Rattus norvegicus: one gene and its partners. The main gene of each other region encodes a partner of the protein of the gene in region 3 in a complex. Links are inferred from orthologs where the notes say so. Each region holds a gene or a part of one and is shown on either strand. Other genes may lie near its edges.

Region 1 (5,250 bases), on a different chromosome or scaffold from region 3:
AGTTGAAGAAAGGTGTTTATTAAGGATAAGGAAACAAACAGGCACACCAAGAAGAAGACCTTCTTCAAAATAAAAAGGGGACTCAGCCCCAAAATTCGATCTTTTCTGGAGGGCTGGAGGTTCTAAAGGCTTTGAAGAGTCTTCCTCCCCTAATTTAGGGTTGGTCAATTTGAATAAAGCTTGGATGGTGGATGAAGCCAGAAGTGTTGTGTGACATGTCCAGTGCGGGCCTTGAACATTTTGAACCAGTACAGCAGCAGCAGCTTCCAGCCGAGAGATCCACAGAATGTAAGAAGGAAACTGGGTTCTCTATGATTTAGCTGGGCTTGTTCAAACTTCTGGAGTCTGATTTGAGCAGTTTATTTTTATTTGTTTTTTTTTTTCACATTTAAACAGTAAAACTTTCAAAAAAATGTTTCTTTGTAACAACTGTCACCACAAAGCTTAAGACATGGCTACATCAAAACTCCCTTGCAAAGTACAAGGTTTTTGAAAAGCACCTGTGACCTCTTCCACAAGAGTGGGTCCTACCAACTGAGAAAACGCTCAAGATAAGAGCCTAGGGAGGAAAGGTTTTTAATCATCATAAGAGCAAACTCTTTTACAACAGTACATGATATCTCTCCTATAAGGATGGATTGATTCTGTGGACTGAGAATGCTCAGGAAAAGGGGGATTCAGATGAGAGTTGGCTCGCAGAACAGTAAAATTACCTGTTATTCAACAACCTCCACCCTAGCCTTCCAAGTGAACAGGTGTCACTTTCTTCTATTGAAGAAAAAGATCTGTGTGGTTAACAATTCTGGTTTCCCTAGTACTATCTGTAAGCATGAACCCTCCTACCCTCTCCAAACCCCACGCAGCCTTTCTTTGAAGCTGCCAAGCTTGTATCAAGTTAGGAGGTTGGGGAAGAAGTTAGCCATCTTGAAAACTCAATACTTATTACCTAGCCATGGCCCCTCTCCTGTCTGCCTGTATGTCAGTTGTCCTTACTATATCCAGGGATTAAATGGTTTGCCAGCAACTTGCCAGATTTGGAGGAAGTTTGATGCCCCTTCCCTAAAAATTTAGAAACTTAGTTGACAGCAGAGCAATCTGACGTCAGTCAATGTCAAGGCCCTCAGTGCTGCTGGAGAACAATCAAACACTCATTGAAGATGCCTACAGAAAAAAGCTGGTTTCACAGATAAGAACCCCAAAGCCAGAAAACTGGAAGTTCTTAAATTCTTGCATTGTGGGTTTGGGATTTAACAGTTTCTCACATAGCCGTTAGTGTGCTCCCAAAGAACTAACTAGCTGCAAGAATTGATCTGAGTTACCGATATTCCCAAGCCATGTAGGGATGAACTTATACTGGTGAAAAAGTGTGATGTGTGTTGGAGAAGGTGGGAGAAATACACCTAAAAATTGTTACAAGTAGTAGGTACCTTGAGCTACAAATGATCTGAAGTATAGCTAACAGCACAGCAAGGGCGACAGATAGGCACTGTAACTATTGTTCTTTGTATTTTACACAATGTAAATTGGTAGCAACAACCAAACAAGTTATATTTTGAAAAAAAATTTTTTTTTCTGGTTAAAAGCTGAGCTATCGGGCTGGAGAGATGGCTCAGCAGTTAAGAGCACTGACTCCTCTGGTCCTGAGTTCAATTCCCAGCAACCACATGGTGGCTCATAACCATCTGTAACAGGATCAGGCGATGCCCTCTTCTAATGTGTGTGTACTCACATAAAATAAATCTTAACAAACAAACAAACAAACAAACAAACAAACAAACATACAAACAGCTGAGCCACCTTTCTGTAGGCAGAGTAGAAAGGTAAGGCCTCCAAACTAGCCACTATTCAGTTCCCAGTGGCACTCAATTCCAGCGTCCCTTGATTGTTAAGTCGAAAGATGAGACTCGGAAGTGAGGGCTCACAGATGGACTCTACCCGGGGAGATTACAAGATGGGTGGGTCGCTAACTACACACACAGTCACTCGGAGGAGGAGTACCCATGAGCTGAAGCGACTAGCTCCAAAGCTAAAGTCTAATTCAGAAAAATCTCACAACCACCGAAAAGGGATAACCCAGGTGGACGGGTAGTGGATGCGGAAGCGGAAGCGGAAGCGGAAGTAGACTACCGGAAGTTGCAATGGTGATGCCTGCCATGGCTGAAGTGTCCGCTGGGGCTGAGTCTGTGGCGGGCTGCCGAGCACGGGCAGTGCACAAGGTGCTAAATCAGGTGGTTCTCCCTGGGGAGGAGCTGGTGCTGCCGGACCACGAGGACGCAGACGGCCTTGGGGGCCCCGGGGAGCAGCCGTTACGCCTGAATGCGGGAGCGCGCCCGAGGCTGCGCATAGTATGCGGCCCGGGTTTGCGACGCTGCGGGGACCGTCTGCTGGTCACTAAGTGTGGCCGCCTGCGTCACAAGGAGCCCAGCGGCGGCGGCGGCGGCGGCGGCGGCGGCGGCGGCGGCGGCGGCGTTTATTGGGTGGACTCGCAGCAGAAGCGGGTAAGCGGATGTCTGAGAGGCGGTGCTGCCCCCAAAGTGGGATCCCTGCAAGTGCGATCATAGGTTAAGGCGAGTCTAGAGCGGCGGTGGCTTCTAGATCTCTCTCTCTCTCTCTCTCTCTCTGCATCTTCTTTAGAGGAACCACAATAGGAACATATCCTGAGAAGGGCGAAAGGAGAGAAAGGTTCCGCGAGTTCTTGTGAAAAACCCAAAGCCATTTGGTGTCCCAGTTGCAATGAGTCCAAATCACAGGGAGTTAAATTTCCCATAGAATAAGAGCTTTCTCTTAGGAATAATGACTAATGGAATGAGTTTCCTTGAATGTAAAGATTCTTGTGCCACCAGACTTATAAAGGATGCCGAAAAATCTTGAAACTTGATTCAAATCAACTGTTGATTTAGACGGTGTAAAGTTTTACTGGTGCGGGCCGGTTTTGTAGTTCCAGCTACCCGGGGAGTAAGTAGTTGGCAGGGTTGGTTGAGACCAACCCTTGGTAACCTCGATGAAAGTTGCCGAAGATATTTTATAGTAGTATTTGTATCATTTATGATTGTTCTTTTATTCTGTTTTGTAGTATGTACCAGTGAAAGGAGACCACGTGATTGGCATAGTAGTCGCTAAGTCTGGCGATATATTCAAAGTTGATGTTGGAGGGAGTGAGCCAGCTTCTTTGTCCTACCTGGCATTTGAAGGGGCAACTAAAAGAAACAGACCAAATGTACAGGTAATGATGGTTTCAACAATAAGAAAAAATGTCCACTCCCTAGAAATTTAACTATCCAGAGGGCTACCTGAATTGTCTTTAAAGCATCAACTATCCCTCCAGTTCTCCAAGGTCGTTTATTAGATTCTCGGTTGCTGCAGCTCCAGAACCATTGCTGTGTATCACGTTAGCAGTCTTGGTTCTTCTCTACCTGGTTGGCAAGTTACATCTGTGTCTTCCTTACCTGTCATGTCCGAATCCACCCAGGACAATGGCCCTAATGTAAGGGCCACCGGCACTATTGTTATCTGTTCATGGTCGCTGTAAATCCTTGGAGCTGACAGAAGAGTTGTCTTGTTTCGACAGGTTGGGCTTTCTGGGTAGTTTAGCCATATCCTTCTGAATACCTGAGCTACAAATGAGATGAGCTCTCTCCTGCTTTTTGTCAGCTCTCGAGGGTCTTTAGTCGCTCAGTCTTATCTGTTCTTCTCTTTATCTTTGCCTGTCAATCCCTTTGTCTCCACAGGGTCAGGTGTCTGCTCCCTTTTGACAGGAGTGGGCAGCAGTCTTGTTGACTTATTAAAAAAATCTTATTAAGAAAAGGATTGTTTAAGTTATAAGGAATCCACTGGCATGGTGCACCTGGGGTCTCCCCTCACAGCTTGTTGCTCCACGTAACTATATTAAGCTTCACAGTGTCACTGGGTTCCCTTCCTTCCCTTGGTCTTTGTTAATGGGGTCCCTCTGTTTGGAGCTGTATCCTCAGCCTATGAGACACCACCCTTGAGGTCCAGGCTGAGTGGGACTGCCTATAAGGTCATCATCTCTTTTCCTGTATATTTACCACAGCCCTGGGTTTATTCTTGATCTGGTTCCTCAGTTTATTCATTCTCACTGCCCTGTGCAAGAGCACATGCTCCAGGAAGGCAGAAAGGGGTTATGTCCCGCCAGGTTTTGTAATCACCCACAACAGTGGGGACTTAAAAAATACTTTTAGAGTATGCATAGGGAAGTGTTTTGTCCACATGTATGTTTCTGCCCAGTGTGTGACAGCTTCTTGTGGAGGTCAGACAGGAAGGTCAGGTCCCCGAAACCTGAGTTATAAACAGTTTCGAGCTGCTATGAGGATGCTAGAAACCAAAGCTGGGTCCTCGGCAAGAGCAGTAAGCACTCCTAACCCATGAGCCATCGCTCCAGCTCAACAGGGAGGATTTTTAATGTTGAATGACGAGAACAGATTTATTGTTTCCTTAGCTTCATTTTAAAGTTCAGTTTTGTAATATTTTAAAGCCAATTTTCCATGAAGTAGTGTCTGAATTACTGCTATCCCATTTTCACATTCCATTGAATATGGGTGTCATGAGTTTTTCCTTCCTCTAGACAAACATAATTGTTAGTACTGATAGAACATTCTCCAGTGATGCTGTTTTTGTTTTTATATCTGCTCTGACTGATGCAGTTACCACTAGTTACATGTGGCTGCTGATGAGCTGAAGAACTGAATTTTATGTAAGTTAAGTAGATATAAAGTTAAATATGAAATTAAGGTAAGCTACATGCAAGTTGAACAGTTCAGTTTTGAAGGCTGTCCTTAGGCCTTGAAATGGCTTCTGGTTGGAGGATTTCATGGGGTGTGAAGGGAGGACTGAATTCTAAGGATCATTAGTCCCTTAGCTTGAGAACTGGGTCACTGGCATTCCTGCCCATGGAAGAGAACCAGCAGCAGCAGCAGCAGCATCTGTAGGATGTCTGGGTAAAGGGAACTGAACTTTTCTTTTAATCTTACAGGTTGGAGATCTCATCTATGGCCAGTGTGTGGTTGCTAATAAAGACATGGAACCAGAAATGGTCTGTATTGACAGCTGCGGACGCGCCAATGGGATGGGTGTGATTGGACAGGATGGGCTGCTCTTCAAAGTGACCTTGGGCTTAATTAGAAAGTAAGTTATGATGCGTATTAAATGCCCCACCTTCTTTAAGGATCCGTTTACTCTTTGAGAATTCCATAATGGTATTTTGTTGGTCATACTTCCTCCCCCATTCTTCCC
Region 2 (5,261 bases), on a different chromosome or scaffold from region 3:
GGACTGACAAGGTGCCTTCAGACCTCCACCTGCAACCACTAGCACGAATAGCTAACTTTTTTTTTTAAACTGTCAGTGGAATACTAAGCACCCAGACGCAGGAGAATCTCTGAGAGTTCTACGCCAGCTGGGGTGTAATGAGAATTCTGAAATGTTGGTTTAAAAACACAGAAATATAAGCGTTTGTTTTCTTTTTAACCCCAGGTGTGGGATGTGGGGCTGCTTCAGACTGTCCACAGCAGCTGACTGTGATTTGCCTGGTGCTCTGCGGAGGCGTGGTTTTGCCAGCTGCAGATAGTTTCTGTGATTGTGTGACTTTGGAATTCTGGGAACTTTTCAGAGAGTATAAAAATGCGAAAGCTCCAATCGACGGGGGTGGCTGCTGCTTGTTGGTAGTTGTACTCAAAGAAGAAACTGAAAGGAAGAAACTAGATTCAAAGATCTCCCACACCCTCCTCCTTCCTGTCCCTTCCTCTCCTATCTAGTGACAGGAGGTAAAACCGGGAGGGATAAACGACTGGGAAAAGAACCCACAAAGTAGCTAAGACCCGCTACACTGAGGCTGCATAGTAAGATCTTATTTTAAAACACACCACAAGGGTTGGGGATTTAGCTCAGTGGTAGAGCGCTTGCCTAGGAAGCGCAAGGCCCTGGGTTCAGTCCCCAGCTCCGAAAAAAAGAACAAAAAAAACAAAAAAACAAAAAAAAAAAAACACCACAAACAAACCACCACAAAATTATTTATTCTGGGTGAGAAAATAAGACAACATACTCAGAATCAAGACTCACAAGCCCTCCACAATGAATAGCATTCCTTAATTATCTGCTCCTACAATACACAGGGTTGTTAAAGAGGACTCAGTGGGACTATAATCTGCTCTATCTACCCCACAGGTATGAAGCAAACAATAAAAATATACCTCCAAGCTAGGTGTCACGGTCCCACCTATAATCATTATAAGAGCACTAGGGAGGCTCTGGTAGGAAGATTGCTAGTTTGAGGCCAACCTGAAATACATATCAAGATTTTCAAAAAGCAACAGCAACCAGGTGATATCGCACATGCCTCAGATCCCAGCACTCTGGGCAGAGATAGGCAGATCTGTGATCTCAAGGCCAGCATGGTTTACAGAAGGAGTTCCAGGACAACAAAGGCTACAAAAAGAAACCCTGTCTCCAAAAACAAGCAAACCAAACAACAGCAAAAAAGGGCCCATCACCAACAAACACAACAAAATCTCAGGACTATGTATTTCATATTCTGAGTGAAAACACTCCCAAATGTATACTAAGTGACCGAATCTTTAAAAATAATCAGAACTCCAAAACCTACTATACAGGTGCATATAGACAACCGCAGGCGCTTTGTGCTTGCATCCAGGCTATAGAGAAAACTTACTGGCCAAGGTAAGGGAGGGAAACTTATGGATTTAACCAAGCAAATGAAAAAGAAAAAAGAAAAACTAAACTAATACTGAGCCACAAAGATAATAATCACGTGTATGTGGAACAAAAAATTGTGCTTGGCTAAACTGACCACTGTAAAAACCACACGGACGAAAGACGAAAAAAAGAGAAGGACCAGATTCCAGCACTCACAGTGGCTGCCCCCTTCTAACCTCCGCAGCACTGAGCACACACGTGACGAAAAGACATACAAGCAGGTATGCTTGTTCAATACATTCGTACAATAAAAATAGATATACAGTTTTTTAAAGGGCCAAAAAAAAATAGTCTCCGCTGGGACCAGCGCCTCCGACAAACCGAGGACGTCCGGAAAGAGAAGTTTGTCTTCAAGGCGTACCTACTTCAACAACCGAGGAGAAGCTGCAAAAACCAGCTCGGCTCGGGCCTTTGATTTCCCGGAACCGAACGACGTGACTCGTACATTCAGCAGGCCGGGGAAGCTACGAGCCTTGCACCGGAAAGGGACTAGTTTACCGGAAGTTATAGCTCTCCGAGACTGAAAAGGAAACGGACCGGCGGAAGTCGTAGTCGCGGAAGCCCAGGTCATCTAAGGGGTCGTGCTCTCGGAGGCGGAGCGAGGACTGCGCAACATGGCCGGGCTGGAGCTCCTGTCCGATCAGGGTTACCGGATAGACGGTCGCCGCGCGGGGGAGCTGCGCAAGATTCAGGCGCGGATGGGCGTGTTTGCGCAGGCCGATGGCTCGGCTTATATCGAGCAGGGCAACACCAAGGCACTGGCGGTGGTCTACGGGCCTCACGAGGCGAGTAAGCGGCAGGGATTGGGGGCTCGTGGCCGCACGACGAGGAAGTAGACCTTACAGCTTAACTCCTCTACCTATGCAGCAGTATACTAAAATCCCATCTTTGAATTTCTGGGGTCCTCCCTGGCAGAAAGCATCTCAACACACGTTGTCCCACCGTGTTGTAGGGGAAATGATGTGCGTGCATCTGCGAGGACCTGGCTTCTTCTGATTTCACCTCACGAGCTCTTTCCCTTGGTTAACTTCCATTTCAATCCTTCCTTTGTGTTACATCCACTAAGCCATGAATATAATTATACCCCGAGTTCTGAGTCCTCTCGGGGAATTGCATCCCTAACATGGCCCTCAAATTTGTATAAGTATTAGGTCCCATGATGAACTGAGAATATTGGTTTCTTTAAGAACCCAGTTATGTTATGTGATTATGTTTTTGTTTTAATCCCACGGGTGGGATATGGGGCTGCTTCAGATTGTCCACAACTACTATGATTGTCTCATGCAGGGACTGGGGGCTCATGGCTGCACATCGTGGGAGTGGACATGAGTCTTACTGCTTAACTCCTCCGTCTCAGTGGGCCTCTTTTCTCCTGGGCTGCCCTCTTCATCTCTGAGGTGCCTCATACATCCTGGCAAAGCTACACTCAGTCCCTGTTCTTTCAGTCCAGTGTTTTGACATCTTGTCCGGAAAAGGCCTCCCAGGCTATTTCTGCCCCTGCTACATCGATTTTCCTCAGTCTTCCATGTCTCTTGTCTCTCTACTGGAATGTAAACTCCCAAGACAGAGACATTATAAATTGCCTGCCTTTGCTGCTTTGTCTCAGTGGTGTAGCAAGGCCGGCAAACATGCACATTTTAAGGGTTTTTTTGTTTGTTTGTTATTTGTTTATTATATATAAGTACACTGTCACTGTCTTTTAGACACACCAGAATGGCATCAGATCCCATTACAGATGGTTGTGAGCCACCATGTGGTCGCTGGGATTTGAACTCAGGACCTCTGGAAGAGCAGTCAGTGCTCTTAACCAATGAGCCCACATTTTAAGGTTTGCTAGCAATTTGCTCAGCTTTCTAGGTGGAAGCCAGGTCAGGTCTAGAACACATTAGGCCAGACTACTGGTAGACCGAGGGACAGTAGATCAAATAAAGTTGAGTGGTTAACCAAGGAGATGAGGACCCAGGGCTTTGAAGGTCGGGGAAATTGAGATTTTCTTTTACATGTAATGAGAAGCTTCTGGAAGGTAAGTAAAATATTAGTGTGTGGGTGACACAGTCAAATCACATGTTTGTAAACATGGTGACCACGATGGGAATGATTTAGGAAGAAATGGAGCAACTAAAGAACAAAGGGGTTTTTTTTGCGGAAGGTGACAGTGGTGCGGCTTAGACCGAAGTGTAGCCCTAAACCGCCTGCCATGGTTTGGAACCAAAGTAGCTGCTGCTTTCTGAAGCACTTTAGAAAGAAGAGGAGGAAGGCTGAGCCATCGAGTGTGACCCAGGAGGTAGGCGGCCCTGGCTCATTCCTTCTTTTTTCCTCCAGATCCGGGGCTCCCGGTCACGGGCTCTGCCTGACCGGGCTCTAGTGAACTGTCAGTACAGTTCAGCAACCTTCAGCACAGGTGAGCGCAAGCGAAGGCCTCATGGAGACCGGAAGTCTTGTGAGATGGGGCTGCAGCTACGCCAGACCTTCGAGGCAGCTATCCTCACACAGCTGCACCCACGTTCTCAGATAGACATTTATGTGCAGGTGAGCCTCAAACCACTCCCCCGGGGGCGGGGCTTAAGGGGATGAGGTCTGCCTGAGATGCTGGAGGATGAGATGTCTGATGTCCTGATGCCCCCTGCAGGTGCTACAAGCAGACGGTGGGACCTATGCAGCATGTGTGAATGCAGCCACGCTAGCAGTGATGGATGCTGGGATACCCATGCGGGACTTTGTGTGTGCATGTTCGGCTGGTTTTGTGGATGGCACAGCACTAGCGGACCTCAGTCACGTGGAGGAAGCAGCTGGCGGGCCCCAGCTAGCCCTGGCCCTGCTGCCAGCCTCTGGCCAGATTGCACTGCTTGAGATGGATTCGAGGTTGCATGAAGACCACTTGGAGCAGGTGCTCGAGGCTGCTGCCCAGGCAGCCCGGGATGTGCACACTCTGCTGGATCGTGTTGTCCGGCAGCATGTGCAGGAGGCCTCTATCTTACTGGGGGACTGAGGCCAACCCCCCATATCCAGAATAAAGGCCTGTTCCTCTCCTGAACACACTGTAATGTACAGCACTTCAAAGCAGCTCAGGGCCCTACATAGCAGTTTGTACTGCAGTCCCTAAGTGGAGAGAACACTTGTGCTAGGAAGAGCAAGAGTGCTCATGCTGTGCCTGCCCAGATATCAGGGTCCACAAAGACCACCAGGGGTCTGGATTTGTATGCAAAAGCAAAGCCTTTATTCACACTTAAGCTTGGACCCTCAGAATCCTCCAAGCATCAGATTTGTGCTGAGACCTTGAACCTCATTTAGGCAAGGTTTTTATACTAGTTTGAGCAGGGAACGGGGGTCTCCAGCATAGCGATTGCCTTACTTAGCAAGGGTTGAGCAGGGAGGGGGTCTCCAGCCTGTCAGTTGCCTTATTTGGCAAGGGGTATCTTGGTGCACAAGGATTGGTCAATGATGAGCAATTTATCTGTAACCTTTGGAATTTTAGACACTTTCCCTCTATTTCTCTGATTGGCTCTAGCCCAGGGCAGTTTCTTCCTGGATTGTTTATGATATTTCTATTAATCGCAGTTCAAACAAGGGACAAGCAGGCTCAAAATGGAGTCCGCTTTCTCCCATCACTTGTGTTCCTCACTCATGCCCTCAGACTAAGGAATGTGCCTTGCTTACACAACTCTTCAGAGACATGAGTGCAAGGCTGAGGTGGCTATGTGTGCTCATCAAGAGATGTAAGGTTAGACTAATGCAATGGTTCTCAACTTGTGGGTCACAACCCCTTTGAGGTCTCCTATCCGATATCCTGCAAATCCGATATTTACACTATGACATAA
Region 3 (5,000 bases):
TTAGCCACACAAAAGGCTCATGAACACTTGTAAAAATATCAAATTCGGGGGCTGGGGATTTAGCTCAGTGGTAGAGCGCTTACCTAGGAAGCGCAAGGCCCTGGGTTCGGTCCCCAGCTCCGAAAAAAAGAACCAAAAAAAAAAAAAAAAAAAAAAATCAAATTCGGGGTGAACTCTGCCAGCAGCTGCTTTCCCTTCCCCACAGCAAACTGCTCTCTCCCATAATCCCCAGCTCAGTAAGTGTTCACCCCACCCATGCTTAGGCAGAAACCTTGATGCCTGTCACACTCTGGGATAAGCACAGCACAGACCCTGCTGAAGGCACCTCCAAATGTGTGAGGGAAACAAAGACATCCAGACTGGAAACGGGGAACTAAAAATATCTCTATTCCTTCTGTTAGCTTTCCTTAAACACATCAGTTACTGCAACAGCCTTTCAAAGGACACTCTGAAAGCAAGGCATACAGAGGACATAGCCACTGCTGAGGGCCATGCCTGCCATCACTCGGTCATTTCTCAGATGAATACAGTTCCCCAGCCCAGCTCCCTAAACATGCCCTGTCCCCCTTCACTGTCTCCATGGCAACCACAGCAAGTGATGAAGACGTAGGTCAGATCACAGCTCTCTTGCTCTCTTCTGCTTGATCCCTTCCAAGGGCTTCCCAATTGGTACAGTACGAAGCCCAAGTCCTCACTGTCATTGCCAGGCAGGGTGACCACTTGGCTGCCACAGCTCCGGCTTGCCTGACTAATCAGTCCCAGGCTCATTGCTTCCCTTCTGGACGCACCTTTATGGGCTTCTTCTAGGTCCTGGGCCCTGTGTGTAAGTACTTTACTGTAGCAGGTCACTGAATTCCGAATGAACAATCCTGAGTTGGTTACTTTCTTTATGATGTGGAAAAGGAAAGCCCAACGCATGGAGGGATCAAGTGACGTGAGGAAACCTTTGAAGCTCACACCTTCTGTAGTGTCCTAGTTTGCTTTCTGTTGCTGTGATAAATACCACAACCAAAAGCAACTCGAGAAGGAAAGGGTTTATTAGGCCTACAGATTACACTCCATCACGGAGGAGTGCCAGGCAGGAACCTGGAGGCCAGAACTGAGGCAGAGTCTGTGGAGGAACACTACTGGCTGGTTTGCTTCCCAGACTCAGGTTTTTGTTCTCCCCCCCCCCCCACACACACACACAGAGCTGCCCTGGAACTCACAGAGAGCTGCCTGCCTCTGCCTCACAAGTACTAGGATAAAAGGCCTGCAGCACAGTGCCCATCCTTCCACACCCCAGGCCCACTGGTCCAGGGGTGACACTGCCTATATCAATTACCAATGAAGAAAATGCTCCCACAGACATGCCCACAAGCTAATCTGATGGAGACAATTCTTAGCTTTAGGTTTCCGCTCCCAAGGTAACTCCAGCTTTGTGTCAAGTTGGCTGCCGGCACTAACTGTGACAAACAGGCACATTCAACCTAGCAGGCGTGTGACAGGAATGATCCTAGATGACATGGGGAGACGACGGAGAAGGCCTGTGTACAACCCAGATGCTCCGAGAATGACATACACACCTCTGTCCTCACCTGGTTTTCAAGGCTTTGACACAGATCAGCTTGTTCACTCTCTCCACAGAGCCGGCCACTGACGCAATGAGCTTTTCCTCCCCCATGTATGTTCCATGGCCCCTGTGCAAGGACAAGACCACAAAGAAAGGATAGCAGTGTTACACTGGAGGTAACATGGGAGCATCTAGAACATGGTTCTTGAACCTAACAGGCTCCCCCTGCCTCCACAGAGCCATGTGGACATCCCCATCTTAAAAAGTGTGCTCGAGGGGCTGGGGATTTAGCTCAGTGGTAGAGCGCTTACCTAGGAAGCGCAAGGCCCTGGGTTCGGTCCCCAGCTCCGAAAAAAAAGAACAAAGAAAAAAAAAAAAAAAAGTGTGCTCGAATGTCACTTTCCAACAACAGAACTGCACATCCCAGGCAACACAGGGATCCCCACTGGTCCACCCCATTGCCAACTACACCCCTCTTCTCCCCCTTCGTCTGCATTTACGACGTTCTTGTGGCATTTACTGTTATTGTTCCTTGCTAGATGATAAACCCCGCCTTTGGTACCCCAACCACAGGGACTATGTTGAACTTATGCTGCAAGTATGAAGAAATGAATCCTAAGATACCTGTCATCTAATACTTTAAACATAAAGTCTAGAGGCAATGCTATAAACACCATAATCTCATTTGTACCAGAAAGAAAAAACAACCAGGTTTTTTCAGGCCACTGCTGAAATTTTGCTTCCTGCCCCCACTTTTCAGTTGCTTAATACTCCCGATTCTACCAATTCCTGTTGTCACCACCGTCTTCCAGGTGAGGGTACCGGCCTTAGCTAGGTGCTACAGCTAAGGAGAGCACGACTCCAGAGCAGGCCCAAAGTACCACAAGTTCCGATAGCCTGCTAAGTTTGTATTATTGGGTGCATCTATGCACAGTATGTACTGAATGCTTACCTCAACCCCCACCCCACGAAAATCACTGCTTCAAAGTCAGGCTCGTCGCTGAGGTAACACTGAAAGAAACGACCAAGCCAGCAACCCACTGTCTCTTCAGAGGGTTGTAAGAAGGGTCCTGCTCCCAGCCCTCCCCAGGAAAGCTCAAAAATCTTGAGTTTCAGGATAAGGGTTCAAAAGTTCCTGACACCATAGATTAAAGGAGAAATCAGGAACTGACAGAGGAGCACCCAAGATGCAGGAAGTCAGAAGCATGAGGCTCGGAAAGGAGGATGCTCTGAGGTGTCCCAGGTATTCGGTGACTTAGATACAAGGGGACAGGAGGCCTGGGTTCCCGGGCAGCGGGCCACGTGCAGAGAGCTCTGCAGCCGTCTCCTGAGGCCTTGGGACCCCCAAATCCTCACGTACCGCATGAAGCCTGTATCCGTGGTGATCGTGTCCCCTGGCACTACCAAATGTTTTTTAGAATCGCGGCCCAAGCTCTCACTGAGAGGTTTGCGAGCCCTAGGGAGCCTCATCTCCAACGCCATCTTGGCGCCAATGACTTGCGCAGGCGCAGCTCCACACAGTCGCCTCAATTCCCGCCCACCTTCAGAGAAGCGACCAATGGAATGTATAGTGTGGCGGCCATGTTGACTATTGGCAACTATTAAGTTAACTCGAAGAAAAGAGGGTACCAAGCTGCCATGTTTACTATTGGCAAGAAAGCACCCGCGGAAAGACGTTGTAAGGGAATATGACTTGTAAGGGAATTGGTTTGGTTTGGCGTTTGTATTTGAGAAAAGGTCCCGTGTATGGCTGGACACAAACTGTACAGTTGAGAATAACCCTGCTGAACTCCAGAGATTCATGCCTCCACCTCCCAAACGCTCCGATTACATGAGTTTGAGTAGGTTGTGGTTTTGGTGGTGGTGCGAATGGTGCTTTTCGCATCTGATTGGTTTGTTGTTTTATGTGTATAAGCGTTTTTCCTGCGTTTGTCTCCGTACACTCCAGTGTCTGATGCCCACAGAGGCCAAAAGAGGTTGTTGGAGCACCTGGAACTGGAATTACAGATGTTTGTGATCCGCCATGTGGGTGCTGGGAATCGAAACCAAGTCCTCTGGAAATGCAGCCAGTGCTCTCCACCTCTGAACCCAGCCCAGGTGTAAAATTTTTTTTTTTTTAAGTTTTTTTTTTCTTTTTTCTTTTTTTTCGGAGCTGGGGACCGAACCCAGGGCCTTGTGCTTGCTAGGCAAGCGCTCTACCACTGAGCTAAATCCCCAGCCCCGTGTAAAATTTTTTAAAGATAGTGTCTCATGTCATCCAGGTTGGTCTCAAACTGGCTGTGTAACCCAGGATGCCCTTGAACTCCTCTTCCTCTATCTCCCAAGAGCTGGGATTACAGGCGTAAACCGCCATGCTCAGTTGTATGAGTTTTTACCCAAACTATCCAATTTCATCATTTTATTTATTGTTGGTCAAGTCTAGAGATTGAGAAGTGAACCTTGAGTTTGCCATCCAACTCTAAACCACTATCTGAGCAGAAGATAGTGAATACTGTTCCTAGGGGGCCTTGTATTCTACAGTGGAGTTGACCCTTAGGTGCTGGTCTGGATCCTCACCTAGTGCTCCTATGGCTTTAGTGTGCTTTAGTAAAGACCTCTTCTGAAAGACGACTGTTGTAAAAGCCAGCCACAGGTGACGAGCAAATCCGTAGTGAGATACAAATGTAACTTTTATTCTCCTGTTGCAGTTGTTGCCTTTGTCTGCTATCCTAGGTCTAGTTCTGGAAGTTTCTAGCCTCTGTACGATCTTATCTAGGTCTAGACTGTTTTCAGCCTCTCTCTCTCTGAATTACTGCTGAATAAACTCACCCCTTCCCAATTCTTTCAGATCTCTGGCTGGCTGGTTCAACTCAGCTGTTTTGGCTCAAACACCTTTCCCAGCTGACTTATAAGATCTGTCTTTTCTCTCGGCCTCTAAATTCCTCTGCTTGGCCTCAAACTAACTCCAGCAATCTTTTCTAATCCTCTGGCTCCTTCTCATTCTATGGTTCATTTCGTCTTTATGTGTGTCTTACTCGTTCTCTCTTAAATATGTCTCTGCAAAACTCTAGAAATAAAACCCCATCCTTCCCTATTAAGTAGCCTCTCCTCATGAGAGTGGGGCATATCCTACTCTGTCAAATCTTCCTCTGTTTTGTCACTTTTTCTGCCACTCAATTAGACATCACTTTCAAACATGCTTCCTTCTTACAAAGTAACTTTACCTTCATTGTTTGGGATTAAAGGTGTGAGCTAAGGGTTGAGCCACACTGCAACTAGAAACGGGTTCACATTTCTATACCAAGGAAGCCACGTGCACACAGGGTACAAAGATCTTTGCTTATATTCAATTACACCTGAGTGGGTGCTGTTCGGTAGTGGAGGGTAGATACGGCAGGCGTCTCCTGTGGCTTTATCTGAGCCTCCTATTTAAGAGAGGCATTTCCCCCTTTTCCCATCATTCACTGAT
Region 4 (4,160 bases), on a different chromosome or scaffold from region 3:
TCAGGCCTGATGGATGGTAAAGGTGGTGGGAAGGACATGTCTGCCCAGGCCACAGGCAAGAACGTGGGCTGCCTTCAGGAAGCACTGCAGCTGGCTACTTCCTTTGCCCAGCTCCGTCTCGGAGATGTAAAGAACTGATGGGAGGGAAGCCCTCTCAGGAAAGCATCTCCCCGACAACCAGTCATGTTCAGGTGCAGGAGTCTAGCCAGGAGCTCTCCTCCTGCCACGAAGACATTTGAGTCTTGGGACCTTTCAGCAGCCCTCCGTCCTGATCCAGCAGTAACTGGAACGCGCCTGGAGCTGTCCTGTGATTCATTGCCCCTTTCCATTCTGCTCTGAGCCATAATGTCAGCGCCATCTGTCTAAAGTCACTACCCAGGAATGCTACCTAACATCCTGATCACGTCTAGATGAGGTCACTCTGCCAACCTGAGGCTTCTAGGTCTGCAAGTGGGAAGGAAGCCTTCCACTGCAGAAAATAAAGGACCATGTGCAATACTAGATGATACCACGCTCTCCTTTCTCCTGAGGTTGACCTCAGCTCCCTATACATGCAGAATACAGGCTGTGTGTGGTTCTGGCTGGTTTCTGATTGATGTTATCACAGAGTACAGCCTCAGACTCCTGAACTTGAGGAACGGCCCCTGGGAGAGCAGAGCTAGAGGCAGAATGGGTGGGCTGAAATTGAGGCATTCAGTAAAAGGGGTGGAGGAAAATTCTTCTGAATTGCTTCACATGAAGAAGCACCATTCTTAGTCTCTTGGGACAACCTCATAATGGCTTTCATCATGTGTGTTCAACGTGCCTCCCCTTGAAGCTGCTGATATGAGGTCAGACAACTAATGTAGGAGGTATGAATGTAGAGATGTCTTCTAGTAACTGCCCCATCCCTGCTTCTTTAACCTGAAATAGGTTCAAGACCCTGGCTCGGCCCTAAAATGCAATTTATATGAATCTACAAACAGCAGGGTCTGGAAGCTGAGATACTGCTTGCTTATGACAGATCTCAGAGTGTTAGAATTATTATTCAGTTGTAGGAAGAGAGATAACGTCCATTTATTAAACAAGTGTTGAAGCAAGCCAGGGGACTAACTACAGGAATGAACAAAAAGTTCTTTTTTTTTTTTAATTAATTTATTTATTTCATGTACATGAGTATCCTGTACTCAGACACACAGAAGAGGGCATCAGATCTCATTACAGATGGTTGTGAGCCACCATGTGGTTGCTGAATTGAACTCAGGACCTCTGGAAGAGCAGTCAGTGCTCTTAACCGCTGAGCCATCTCTTCAGCCCGAACAAAAAGTTCTTACCTAGGGCAAGCTTATATAAAACAATCTGAATGCAAAATTCAAGGAATGACAGTAGATCAGGTCCTATGGAACCACAGGTCCAGCCAATACCTCGCCGTTCTTCCTCCATTCCGCTAGGTGGCAATGCGGAAACCTACCGCTCTCCCGATAGGCTCCGCGCGGGCGCGTATCTTTAAGCGAGCGGAAGAGCCGGTGCGCAAGGCATCCTGGCAGGCGGAAGTAGCTCGTACGCCGGTAGCCGCCATGCCGGGAGACCACCGCCGCATCCGAGGGCCAGAGGAGTCCCAGCCGCCGCAGCTGTACGCGGCCGAAGAAGACGAGACGCCCGCTGCTCGCGACCCGACGCGCCTACGACCGGTGTACGCCCGCGCAGGGCTGCTGAGCCAGGCTAAGGGCTCAGCCTACCTGGAAGCGGGAGGTACCAAGGTGCTGTGCGCCGTGTCCGGTCCGCGGCAGGCCGAGGGCGGTGAGCGCGGCGGCGGTCCCGCCGGAGCGGGCGGTGAAGCTCCGGCTGCTCTCCGGGGTCGCTTGCTCTGCGATTTCCGTCGCGCGCCCTTCTCCGGTCGCCGGCGTCGCGCGCCCCAGGGCAGCAGCGAGGATCGTGAGCTGGGTCTGGCTCTGCAGGAGGCTCTGGAGCCCGCTGTGCGCTTAGGACGCTACCCTCGTGCTCAACTCGAGGTGTCCGCGCTGCTGCTGGAGGACGGCGGCTCTGCGCTGGCCGCGGCCCTCACCGCTGCTGCGCTCGCCCTGGCCGACGCGGGAGTGGAGATGTACGATCTGGTAGTGGGCTGCGGCTTGAGCCTCACACCGGGGCCCTCCCCGACTTGGCTGCTGGACCCCACGCGACTGGAGGAGGAGCATTCTGAGGCCGGCCTCACGGTGGCGCTCATGCCCGTGCTCAATCAGGTGGCCGGGTTATTGGGCAGTGGGGAAGGCGGCCAGACTGAGAGTTGGACCGATGCGGTGCGCCTGGGCCTGGAAGGCTGCCAGCGCCTCTACCCGGTGTTGCAGCAGTGCTTGGTGAGGGCTGCCCGCCGGAGGGGTGCCGCCGCCCCGCCCTGATTGGAAAACTTGAGCGACGAGGATGCGGAGGACTGCTATCGCCCTTTTCTCCCAAAAGGACCAGCGCTGATGGTTGCCCGATTTCGCTGAGCTGAGACAGGAGAGTGGGGGAGTGGTGCGCACAGAACCAAAGCTCTGCACAGCTGCGTTGGAAAGAAGTTTAAAAGGCCGTTGGAAACACGATCCAGTTGGAGAAATTTGAAAGCAGCCATATTCCTAAGTTGGAAAGGACTTGGGCTGGATTTACTTAGTAAATGAGACCTGGGGCTATGGCCTTGTAAGGGATGGACCCTGTGCAGGCCAGCCGGCAGCTCCAATATAATTCTTTTTTTTTTTTTTTTTTTTTTTTCTGAGTTGGGGACCGAACCCAGGGCCTTGCGCTTGCTAGGCAAGCACTCTACCACTGAGCTAAATCCCCAACCCCAATTCTTTTCTTTTGAGAGGATGGACAAGGGGACTTTGCCTTCTCACTACTCGAAGTAAAACATAAAAACATTTTTATGCCTGGAAATAACATGTGTTGTGATTTTTCTTGAGTTAAAAACAATGCTGTTCAGAAATGGGTGTGTGTTGATTGTGTGTTGTCAAGGGTCCAAGTCATTACTGCCTTAAGTATTCCTGTTAGCCCGCTGTAAGAAAGAAAGGGTTATGTGCTTTGGAGGAGAAACCAGCTGCCCCGGGAGCATTGTCTAGGGCAGCTGCCGAGGGGATAAGACTGAGCAGATTTCAGGACAGCCAGAGCTACACAGAGAAACTCCCGTCTGGAAAAGTCTGGGGAGAGTTCAAAGGAGAAGCCTGGATGCACCCCTGTCCTTTCCTTTAGGACAAAACCATGTCTAGGAGTTAGGTAACTGAAAAGGATTATGCTCTGGAAAGAAGCCGGGTCCCATCCTGGTGCCTGTCCAGGCTTGGCTCCTGGGAACAAGGGTCTGGGCAGCAATGGTCTACTAAAATGCAGACCGCCTAATACTGTGGTATCATTTACAGCCTGGCTATTAAGGCAGAGCAGGCCTGACTGACCAGTATAGGGACTTATCCTGTTCTTCACAGGCTGAAGTGGAGGAAGCTGTGAGACTTATTAAGTATTCCAGGGGTCTGCTCAGTTTATGAGGACAAAGTAAGAACTCCTGACCAAGAAGAAGAAATACATATTTTATTTTTTCCCCCTTCTGACATGACTGTAGAACAAATCCAAAATTAGTGTTATACTTACTAGTGAGACTCAAGATAGAGACATAAATGCTCCTTTATTCTGAAGGATAGCTTATGGCTTCATAGAGCACATGGTGGGTTTAACCAAAAGAGGTTGCTTAGGTGGGCGCACACCATCAGGTTTAGTGTTGTGTGGGGAAGAGACAGTTTTCATTCCATGAGAGCTAATAGTGCCTTTTGGGCTCAGGGCCCTGTCGTGTGCCTCCTGCAAGACCACCACAGTTGAATGAAAATAGGCACTGCTGGTCTGTGTGGCTTCCCTACCCTGCCCACAGCAAGACTCATGGAAAAAGAGAGTTAAACCCACGACTACCGGGAGGGGGAGGTTTTCTGGGTGGGCTGGCTGTACCGTGCTTCAGACTTTCAATACCCAAGCTCCAGAAAGGTGACTTCAAGTCGCATGGGAGTGACTAGGGGGCCTTCCAAAAATACAAGGCAAGAAAACAAGCCACCCAAGAGTACCAGTGAAGAAAGTCTGGAAGGTTCCCCACCTCCTACTGGCTATTCTGGTCTGATGCGAGATTCTTCACCTGTGGAAAACAGAGAGGCTAGTTTAGAGGGTGAGAGGCACGG
Region 5 (5,035 bases), on a different chromosome or scaffold from region 3:
GGATGTGAGCAGAGGACTTTCCTACTACAGACTGAGGTATCTGAGGGAAGAAACTCAAGAAACTATGAAGCCTGTGGTTGTTTTTAAGCACTGTGCAAAACATTAAGTGTAATATTTTCCTCTGAGCTTGGCAATCTGAGAAGACTAATTCTAACACTGCCATGTTTAACACCTGAAGAGTCTACCCGTGGCTAATCCCCTGTACTGTGAAGCAGTTCCTTTACCAGTTGCCCCAGCTGTGGGTAAAGTTGAGTTCACAGCTGCAGTGTCTCTTTCAGTCCCTAATGTGGACCTACCACCGCTGTGTTCATCGAGGTTTCGGACTGGACCTCCTGGAGAAGAGGCTCAAGTAACCAGCCAGTTCATTGCAGATGTCATTGAGAAGTAAGACTGTTAGGATAAAAGTTTAACCACCGTTCGTTATCATGTGTGTTTTGCCTTCACATTTATTGTGTTCTTTATCATTAAATCAAGCTCACAGATAATTAAGAAAGAGGACTTATGCATTTCTCCAGGGAAGGTAAGAACAGATTCTCAAGTGGCTGTGTGGTCTAATGTGGTTGTGGGAATTAATCAACCTTAAACCCTGAGATTTTAGAGTTTAGAAGGAATTCTGTAGAAGTTCATTTTACTCTGTATTGGTCTAAATTAACAATTGTGTCATAAATCTTTTCCAGCTGGGTTTTATTTAGTTTAATGAGATAGTCACACTGTGTACCCAGCTGGTCTTTTACCTCCTCCTTCCCAGCCTCCCAAATGCTGGGATTACAGGTGTGTGCCATCCTGTCCAGTTATCAGATAGCATGTCTGGGGAGCTAAGTTTTCTTTCTCTCCCTCTCCCGCCCCCACCCCTCTGTTGCTAGTTAAAAAAAAAAAAAAATGCTTTTATCCTTTACAGCAGATCAGGTTTTGCTTACGCTGATATTTATGGATAGCACATAGTATGTTCCTACATTGGTTTCCCTTGCAGATTTATAGGGCTATTACTATAAAATCTTTGTTACACAGTAGGGAGCAGATATTATAGTTAACATAGCAGCAAGAATAAAACTTCCTCTTTGCACCTCTGGCTCTATTCAGGGGTGTAGTCAGGTCTGTCTCTTGTAGATTTGCTAGTCACAGCCCAGCTTTCCTAACCTGACCTGACCACTTTGACTTCCTACTTAAAGGTTTAAGGAAAAAAAGAGATCTTAGACTTTCAAGACTAGTTTTCTCTAACCAATGGTTCTGTAATTCTTCAATTAATTGAGGAAAAAGCACTATGGTGTTATCAGGTCTAATTTCTTCTGTGTCAATTATTTTAGCTTGCTTGGGTTCTATACTGTGACCTTATTTGCCTAGACTACGATGGGAACATTTTGGATGCCTGCACATTTGCTTTGTTAGCAGCTTTAAAGAATGGTAAGCAACCTTAATAAAGACTATTTTCCTACAAATAGAGTCCAGCTGGTCCTTACCTACTCTTCCCCTCCCAAATGCTGGGGTTACAGGTGTGTGCCATCCTGTCTGGGAGCTGGAGTGAACTCGGAAGTGGCTGTGTGGTCCAACATGGTAGAATTTAAAGGTTTTTATGGACGTCTTGTATCATTCACGATATTTGAATTGTGAGACAGAGTATGCCATAGCCCAGGGCGCCCTTGAACTTTTGATCCTTCTGTCTCAACAATATTACCAGCATTTGGGAGGCTAAGCATGAACTGCCTTGCCCAGGTTATTTTCCCAAGTTAGTCAGCTCTACAGGGTTTTCTAAAAATGTACTTCTGGGTTTTATATTCTTTTAGATCTATAGCCTCCTAGATTGACTCTCTGCCCCAGTAGTCACTGGGGCAGGAGTCCTTCCCAGAATCCACTAACTCGATAGTACTTTGACTGTAATCCAGGTGGTTCATGCAGACTGGCCACAGATATCGCCTCTGATAGTGGTGCTTCCTGGTAAGGCCCAGGCCACTTGATATGACTTAGCATTTCACTTGTGAGCATTCTGCTCATTCTACATTGTTGACTTGATGATAAAACTAAGCCAGGCATGGCTGTGCATGCTCGTAATCACTACATGGGACGAGAGGAAGATGGCAGCTTTGAGGCCAGTTAGACTACAGAACAGGGTCCAGCTAATTCAGAGTGGAAGATAGTTACTAGTGATATGTGTATCCATCCAGTCTGCTTGCTTCCTCTGTAACAGTGCCAAAGAGCAGCTCTTACTGCTTCAAGAGTGTGGGTGAGCAAATGAGTGTTATGAAATAGGAGACACTTCAAGACTACACACCTTCAATCCCAGCACTCAGGAAGCAGAGGCAGGTTCTTTGAGGCAGTTTGGTTTATAGCATGAGTTCCAGAGTTCCAGGACAGCCCAGGAGCCCAGGAGGACACAGAGAAGACCCGTCTCAGGGAAAATAAAACAAGGCAAAAGTCGGCTTGGCTGGATCATAAGATACTCTGTAAAGCGGTTTTCCTCTTCATATTCACCTCAATTGTTATGACATACGTAACAAAACTCCTGAATCTAGGGGAGTAGCACACAACTCTTATCCCAGAGTGAATCTGGAAGCCAGATGGACTACACAGTGAGATCCTGTCAAAGCAGTCAGTAGTTGTTATGGCTAAGCTACACTGAGGGAAAGTTAAGAAAGCATAGAAACGAAGCTGTACATCAGACCCACTTTACATGTGTTCTTACCTTTCTCCAGTACAGTTGCCTGAAGTTACTATAAATGAAGAAACTGCTTTAGCGGAAGTCAATTTAAAGAAGAAAAGTTATTTGAATGTTAGAGCAAACCCAGTTGCTACTTCATTTGCTGTGTTTGATGAGTAAGTTAATCCAATGTAACGTTCTGGGTTCTAAGTTAAGGCCTTGGTATTTAGCTGTCTTCACGAGAACAAGCTGTCCCCAGGCCCTAAATTGCGATTTGAGCCGTGCCCTGCAGTTCCTTTGGTCAGACCTTCCACGCATAGACATCCTGATGTATAGGAAAACTTGTGCTCGCTCACCTTACTTGCCCCTAGGTTTCCTTATGCCTTTTTCCAGGTGGTGAGGGGGAATCTTTAGGGCTCCAGCATTTGCTGAGGAACTTAAGCTATTTTATTCCCAAATTGAAGAGAAAGGTATTTACAAGTATAGGACTGCTGGGCGCTGCTTCTGCTCTGGCTTCCTCCAGTCCTAAATTAGCTCTTCCAGACCCAGGCCAGAGCAGGCATGCCTTTTGGTACTGTTTGAAATTAGTCAGTTGCTAGAACTGATGCCTACTCCCCGCACCACACTTTTTTAATGTAGCACTTTGCTGATAGTCGATCCTACCGGGGAGGAGGAGCACCTGTCCACAGGAACCTTAACCGTAGTAATGGACGAGGAAGGCAAGCTGTGCTGTCTTCACAAGCCAGGTATGTGCTTTCCACTGCGTTTAAAACACTGTCCGGTACTGAGTGCAGTGCGGGGTGTTTGACTGTTTAGCTAAATAAAGTTTATGGACTTCTCTGCTGTTTTAAGTGTTGTGTATCGTTCTTAAAATTAGGACGTCTGTCCTCTGTAGGTCTTCCTAATAAAACTAACCCACATTCTTGAGTCCACAGCAATTTAGATGGTTTGATTTAAAAACAAAAATACCCCATTTGCCATGATTTTCAATTTTCATAAAACACCGAACATTGGCTGACTTTTCAGGTGGGAGTGGGCTGACTGGAGCTAAACTTCAGGACTGCATGAGTCGAGCAGTAACGAGACACAAAGAAGTGAGCAAACTACTGGATGAAGTAATTCAGAGCATGAAACACAAATGAACAGACGCCACGATTGTAAAACAGCTGTAAAAATTGTATTTGTTACACTGTGCACAGGCCTTTTATACTAAATAAATACCTAATTACATTCTTTGAAAGATATGTCTAGTACTTCTTACGTTATTTCTGTAATTGGTATGTACAGGAAAACATTGAACCATGTTTCCATGTAAGAATCACAGGGTTTTGCTTCTATATAAAGTGTGCACATATATCAATGTAAAATACTGACATCTTGGGGGAAATGAAGTAGAAATACAATTCTTTTCATTCAGTGGTCTTGTTTTATAAAAAAGAGAAAACAATTGCTCAGAATTTTGGAGTGGTTGGCATGCCTCTCTTCACTTTACTCTTTGACTGGCTGCCTGCCTGCCGGTGACGATGGAGCTGGGCTGTTTGTGCGGCGGCTGCTGCCATAGCCATTTGATGCTGCAAGAATCGCAACTGCTGCAAAGGGAGGGAAAGATCACGTTACGCTAGGTGCATGGGTGGAGTTGTTTCCCCAGGAGAAATGAGAACAGCCAGAGAAGGAGAAGGCAGGGTAACCAAGGGGACTGCCTGCCCAAACCAGGGCAGAGCAGGAGCCTGCTAAGGGCTTAGAGATTACATTATCCGTTACGTAGCCCTGGCAGTCCACACTGCAGTAATGCAGCAACTTCAATTACCATTTTGTTACAGTAATTCATAGCAAAATAAAGCCAACACTCAGTTGATCACAGTATGCAGACATCCTTTCCTAAAATAGTAGGAATATTTTTCTAAACATGTATGACATTTACTAACAGTAATACTTCCACAGTACAGAATTATAAAGTTAATTGGCACTTAAAACTCTCAAAATACAATGCACATTAAAAGGATGTGTGTGGAATGTGCCACCAAGACCTTAAGAAAGGATTTAAAATATAATTGTTATAAAATACACTTAGTGCTCCAAGTTGACTGGCATTTAACATGTCAGACGTCTAAATAAAATTGACTAGGTTACTGACCAATTGCTTCAGCCTTAACAGACAGGCAGTATAGAAACAGTATAGAGACAGCCCTATAGAAAGGCAGTGTACAGTACTTTTGGAGCCCAGTGTCTTAATTAACCAGAGTGAAGCTGCTGGATTACTTGTAGCTGCTGCTGCTGCTGCTGAAAGGCAGAGGAGAGCTGGAGTCTCTGCTGAGGAAGGGTTTGCTCTGGTCTGTTCTCGGCAGAGCCAAGCTGAGACAACACTACAGAGGGAGAAGGGGAAAGCAGGCCAGTCAAAAAGTT
Region 6 (4,934 bases), on a different chromosome or scaffold from region 3:
GCCTTAGACTTTTTTAAAAAATCTTTTTGAGGGGACTGGGGAGATGGCTCAGTGATGACTAAGAGCACTGGTTATTCTTCTAGAGGAACTGGGTTTAATTTCCAGCACCCATATGGCAGCCCAAAACTGTCTGTATTTAACTCAAGTTCTATGGGATCCAACACCTTCATTCAGACCAAACAACAATGCACATGAAATAAAAAATAAGGAAAGCATTTTTAAAAATCTTTTCGGGTTTTTTTTTTTTTTTGAGAGAGGGTCTCATGCAGCTCAAACTGGCCTCAAATTCCTTGCCTTCCACCTCCCAAGCGCTGAAATTACAGACACATGTCGCCATATCCAGATAAACAAAAAGCGCGGGGCTAGGAGCCAAATTCTGGACGTGGCAAGTGTGAGGCAAGCATTCTGCACTGTGGTACATCGCCAGATCGCAACAGCATTTGGAAGTGTTATCCTGCCCTTATCAACAATAGATCAAAAGAGATTCCGAGTTTTCTCGAGTGTTTTCAAGAAAAGTGGGCAGCCAAGCACCGTAGCGCACATCTGTAATATCAGGACTTGGGAGACTGGGACAGGACTATCTCCAGTTCGGATACCTATCTAAGCATCTGGGTGAGCTAAAGGCCATCCCAGATGAGTGGGTGAGATCCTGTCTCAAAAAAAAAAATAACGTGGGCAAAGGGTCCTGTTTGAACTTCTCGCTCTGTCTCCCTTCATGATCATCTTCTGTAAATGACAGTCATGGAAAAGTCCCTCGCCTTGAATTTTGGTCAGGGGACATAGGAAACAAACGAGTTTCTTGCTCGACTCCCTTTACAATTGGAATTTAAGTAATGTAGAACCCTATGAAAACCTGATCTGTCCTTTCAACCCCCGTCTCATCCCTTACTCGTCTCCTTCCATCGAAGCCCGCAAGTAGCTGCCTTGCTTTTGCTCTAAAGGGAGCCTTCCCTTGAATTTCTCTTCAAAAAGTTTCCCGGTCCTTTTCTTTCTGAATCTGCTCTTCCTTCACAGCCCGCGGTGCCCCACGCACACTGTAACAATAACAGTTACGTCTCTATTTCTCCCCAAGAAAGACACTGTGGGGGCCAGGTACTCACGAATCTAGCCAAGCCCCGAGCCCCAGGTCGCCCCAACAGCAAGAGGGCAGCCTGGCGCAGGCCACGGCTCGGCCTCCAGATCTTGGCCGCGGACATCGCTACCGCCATCTTGGCTAGTAACCACTCCTCCTTTCTCAGGAGATAGACATGCGTCTGTCCCATCAGATGCCTTATTCAAATCTCAGCACCACTAGGCCAACGCACTATTTTCTTCCAACCGCCTAGCAACAAAGACGTAGAAATAAGTAAGTTGACCATTTTTATTCTTTAAAATTGCTCCAGTCGTCTGCTTGGAGTTGTTCCAATATCAGGCAATAAAAAGGACAACCTCACTTGAACCTCCAGGGTTCAGGGCCCGGGGCCTTGGGCAAAATGGGCCTAGTCCAAGTCCTGCCCCTTATTCCCTATTCTCCAATGGCTTTGCCAGAATTGGGAGGTGGAGGTGGGCAGGACCAGATTGTTAGTAAACGCCGAGCCACGTGCTAGGGCCACTTCGGGAGTGCCCTAGATTGGCGCTTGCGCGGTAGGTACACGGCCGGTAGAACTGCGCGTGCGGCTGAGCGGAAGCTACGGTAGGAGCCCCAGCGCGCGTGGTCAGCGGCTATGGAGGGAGCAAAGCGTGCAGACGCCAAGGTACTCACTGACACCGGAACAGAGTCCAGCCCTCGAAGTCCAGTCTGCAGCCTCCGGCACTTTGCTTGTGAGCAAAACCTGCTGTCCCGGCCGGATGGATCTGCTTCTTTTCTGCAAGGTACGACTTTAACAAGGTTTAACTCAGCGCGCGCCATCCTCACCGAAGAAGGGTTTTTGAAGAGCGGTTACTGTGTAGTGTGCAACCAAGTACGCCCACCTCCTTGGAGAATTTATTTCTAGATATTGCGTATACCCACCTCCCGACTCGAGAAGAAATGATTTGGCCAGGCTGGTCAATACCTCTTGGAAGAAATCCAGGGCAAGACCCCTCTCCTAAGAGTGAATATTCCAGAATAGGTGTTTCACCAAGGCAAATATTATCCTTGACTAGATTTCTTAAAAAACACTTCTGGATCCATACATCATCGGTTGAGGCTAAGGTGTTTATTTGCATAAATACCCTTTGAGACAGACACATCACCACTACTGGTTTAAATATAATTACTGTGGCAGGTGATATACCTAAGTAAATGCTCTGAAAATTGAACGTGATCCTCCCATCCTGGGCTAACAAGTAGCTCCCCTTCTCTGGTCCCATCATTTGAGAAAACATGCCTTTCCTTGGTATACACGTCTCATCAGGGTAAATGAATAGAAAGAAAAGAGAGATCTCGAGGCTGAGGCCCACATAACCCTGTATCCCAGTCCAGCCAACCAACTTTGAGAGGTCATGGGAGGGTAAAAAACTACCAGAGTAGACAAATGAAGAGGACAAAGATGGAGTTGACAATGGGGAGTTGTGTTTGAGATATTAAGAGCTGATCACTTTATGGCTAGTAAGTTAGTGTGGGGTAGTGGTGGGTCAGAGAGAGCAAGAAAGGACAGTTAAGACAACTGTTCAGGCATTTTCCTGGGAAGGGATCTGGTAGATGGGACAAGAGTTGAAGACTGACAGGAGCTTAAGAAAAGAAATAACACCTTTAGTCACAACACTTGGGAAACAGAGGCAGGGTCTCTATGAGTTCGAGGCCAGCCTGGTTTGTGGAGAGGAGTTCCAGGAAACCCTGTCTTGGGGAGAAAAAAAAAGGGAGACAACCGGGAACTGGAGAGATGGTTTGGTGGTTAAGAACACTTGTGGCTCTTGAAGAGGACAAAGTTCAGTTCCCAACATCTATTCAGGAGGCTGTCAAGCACTTGTAACTCAGGAGCTAGGGGATTAGAAGCCTCTGCATGCAGGGACACACACACACACACACACACACACACACACACACACACACACACAGAGAAAGAGAGGGGGGGCTTGCACAAGCATGCATGCACATAATTAAAAATAAAATAAATCCTAGGGACTGAAAAGGGGAGAATTTCTGTAGCCCCGTTGTAGAGATGGTGGGAAAGAAGAGACTATTTTGCTTGCCGAGAGCACAGTTTATACAGCAGAACAGGAACAGCTACTGTGTAGCTCTAGTAAGCACCTGAGTCTAGTTGGGTCACTTCTGGTTTCAGGGCAGATGTTGGCGCTAAGACCCTGTCCCATTGGGTTTCCTTGGAAAAGCACCCGCAGATGTAATAGTGTTCTCATCCCAGGCTGGCTCCTGGTTTTGCTCACTTGCTAAACTCAGCGTCTCCTGTCTCTCGAGATATAAGAAATAGAATGGGAACCCTTCCATGTTCTAAAACTCTAAACCACGGGGCCCTGGTGCAAATTGGAGACCTTGCAGACTTTCAAAAAGAATGTTGCAGATGGGGCTGGAGAGATGGCTCAGTGGTTAAGAGCACTGACTGCTCTTCCAGAGGTCCTGAGTTCAATTCCCAGCAACCACATGGTGGCTCACAACCATCTGTAATGGGATTTGATGTCCTCTTCTGGTGTGTCTGAAGACAGCGACAGTGTACTTATATATAATAAATAAATAAATCTTTTTAAAAAAATGTTGCAGACACATCTGACCTCAAAGGCTCCTGCAAGAACACCCTATGGGAGGGGGCGTGGCATCAGTGAGCAGTGCAAATGATGGGTATATGTGATAAATGACACACTAACCCTATTACTTCATAGCTGACCTCATTAGGCTCCTCTTGCTCTAATAAGGACCATGACCAGAAGCAACCTGTGGAGGAAAAGGTTTGTTTGGCCTACATACCCCAAGTCCATTGAAGCAGGAACTGAACCATGGAGGAGCCCTTGCCTTTCATGGCTTGCTCAGCCTGTTTTCATTTATAACCCAGGACCACCTGCCCAACAGCAGCGCCGCCCACAGCGAGTGGGACCCTTCCATATCAGTTGTTAATCAGTGAAATGCCTTGGGTCCGGGAGTGTGTGAATTCCCCTGCAGACTTGCCTACAGACCCTTCTGATGGAGGCAGTCCCTCAGTTGCCTCAGTTGAGTTTCCTCTTTCCAGGTATGGCTAACTCGTGCTGAGTTTACCAAATGCAAAGCAAAGGAAGTAACTAGCCAGCACAGTGTCTTACCTTACAAGCAAAATTGATAAAAAGAAAAAAACCCAACAAAAACAAAACCGATGGTACTGAACCCCTAATCCTAGCAGCAGGGAGATAAATAAAGGCAGGAGGAGCAGCTCGTGCCAGGGTCACTCAGCTGCACAGCATGGGCGAGGCCAGCCTTGACCACACAGAACCTGACTGCAGAAAGTCCAATGGAGGGCTGGAGAGATGGCCCAGTGGTTAAGAGCACTGACTGCTCCTCCAGAGGTCCTCAGTTCAAATCCCAGCAACCAACCACCTGTAATGGGATCCGATGCCCTCTTCTGGTGTGTCTGGAGACAGCCACAGTGTACTCATATAAATAAAATAAATAAATCTTTTAAGGGGCGGGGGAAGGAAGGAAGAAAAAAAAGTCCAGTGGAAACCTACAGAGCCCCGGAAGCTGCCCGTGTAGGTTTGTCATCCTATTTTCTGCTTTGGATTTAGCATGAATGCCCCACCACAGAGTGACATCCCTGAGCCCTCAACTTTTAAATGATTGATTTCCTATGGATGTCCCCAGTGCCCGAGCAGGACAGAAGAGTGTGAACTTCCCAAAAATGTAGTTACAAATGGTTGCGAGCCATCTCTCCAGCCCCAACCTGTGATCCACTGTACACATACATTTTATCAGTGTGCAGCTGTGCTGTAAAGCGGGAGTTATGTCAGAAACGTGGAGACTGCTGTGCAGTGCAATGCCTTCCTGTCGTAGG

What was found.
Region 1: Exosc2 (region 3) and Exosc3 share a complex: the UniProt entries of both Homo sapiens proteins name them as parts of the RNA exosome core complex. The link is inferred for Rattus norvegicus from reciprocal best matches to the Homo sapiens genes EXOSC2 and EXOSC3.
Region 2: Exosc2 (region 3) and Exosc4 share a complex: the UniProt entries of both Homo sapiens proteins name them as parts of the RNA exosome core complex. The link is inferred for Rattus norvegicus from reciprocal best matches to the Homo sapiens genes EXOSC2 and EXOSC4.
Region 4: Exosc2 (region 3) and Exosc6 share a complex: the UniProt entries of both Homo sapiens proteins name them as parts of the RNA exosome core complex. The link is inferred for Rattus norvegicus from reciprocal best matches to the Homo sapiens genes EXOSC2 and EXOSC6.
Region 5: Exosc2 (region 3) and Exosc8 share a complex: the UniProt entries of both Homo sapiens proteins name them as parts of the RNA exosome core complex. The link is inferred for Rattus norvegicus from reciprocal best matches to the Homo sapiens genes EXOSC2 and EXOSC8.
Region 6: Exosc2 (region 3) and Exosc5 share a complex: the UniProt entries of both Homo sapiens proteins name them as parts of the RNA exosome core complex. The link is inferred for Rattus norvegicus from reciprocal best matches to the Homo sapiens genes EXOSC2 and EXOSC5.

The regions. Positions count from the first base shown.
Region 1 is NC_086023.1:64,371,592-64,376,841, reverse strand, and holds the start of Exosc3 (exosome complex component RRP40), read left to right. Parts: upstream 1-2,130; 5' UTR 2,131-2,153; coding exon 2,154-2,498; intron 2,499-3,073; coding exon 3,074-3,223; intron 3,224-4,990; coding exon 4,991-5,142; intron 5,143-5,250. UniProt on the Homo sapiens protein: Non-catalytic component of the RNA exosome complex which has 3'->5' exoribonuclease activity and participates in a multitude of cellular RNA processing and degradation events.
Region 2 is NC_086025.1:109,926,472-109,931,732, forward strand, and holds Exosc4 (exosome complex component RRP41), read left to right. Parts: upstream 1-2,019; 5' UTR 2,020-2,057; coding exon 2,058-2,228; intron 2,229-3,765; coding exon 3,766-3,972; intron 3,973-4,072; coding exon 4,073-4,432; 3' UTR 4,433-4,762; downstream 4,763-5,261. UniProt on the Homo sapiens protein: Non-catalytic component of the RNA exosome complex which has 3'->5' exoribonuclease activity and participates in a multitude of cellular RNA processing and degradation events.
Region 3 is NC_086021.1:35,358,720-35,363,719, reverse strand, and holds the start of Exosc2 (exosome complex component RRP4), read right to left. Parts: upstream 3,055-5,000; 5' UTR 3,035-3,054; coding exon 2,913-3,034; intron 1,680-2,912; coding exon 1,578-1,679; exon of another isoform or gene 1,566-1,577; intron 1-1,565. UniProt on the Homo sapiens protein: Non-catalytic component of the RNA exosome complex which has 3'->5' exoribonuclease activity and participates in a multitude of cellular RNA processing and degradation events.
Region 4 is NC_086037.1:55,929,999-55,934,158, forward strand, and holds Exosc6 (exosome complex component MTR3), read left to right. Parts: upstream 1-1,524; 5' UTR 1,525-1,556; coding exon 1,557-2,375; 3' UTR 2,376-2,939; downstream 2,940-4,160. Other genes in the region: Aars1 (alanine--tRNA ligase, cytoplasmic), read left to right, coding at 1-138; Hnrnpcl1 (heterogeneous nuclear ribonucleoprotein C-like 1), read right to left, coding at 4,082-4,117. UniProt on the Homo sapiens protein: Non-catalytic component of the RNA exosome complex which has 3'->5' exoribonuclease activity and participates in a multitude of cellular RNA processing and degradation events.
Region 5 is NC_086020.1:141,079,409-141,084,443, reverse strand, and holds the end of Exosc8 (exosome complex component RRP43), read left to right. Parts: intron 1-278; coding exon 279-384; intron 385-474; coding exon 475-520; intron 521-1,304; coding exon 1,305-1,401; intron 1,402-1,490; coding exon of another isoform or gene 1,491-1,522; exon of another isoform or gene 1,523-2,687; coding exon 2,688-2,808; intron 2,809-3,271; coding exon 3,272-3,378; intron 3,379-3,658; coding exon 3,659-3,774; 3' UTR 3,775-3,876; downstream 3,877-5,035. Other genes in the region: Supt20h (transcription factor SPT20 homolog), read right to left, coding at 4,084-4,221, 4,892-4,995. UniProt on the Homo sapiens protein: Non-catalytic component of the RNA exosome complex which has 3'->5' exoribonuclease activity and participates in a multitude of cellular RNA processing and degradation events.
Region 6 is NC_086019.1:90,294,289-90,299,222, forward strand, and holds the start of Exosc5 (exosome complex component RRP46), read left to right. Parts: upstream 1-1,620; 5' UTR 1,621-1,703; coding exon 1,704-1,851; intron 1,852-4,934. Other genes in the region: Bckdha (2-oxoisovalerate dehydrogenase subunit alpha, mitochondrial), read right to left, coding at 1,101-1,208. UniProt on the Homo sapiens protein: Non-catalytic component of the RNA exosome complex which has 3'->5' exoribonuclease activity and participates in a multitude of cellular RNA processing and degradation events.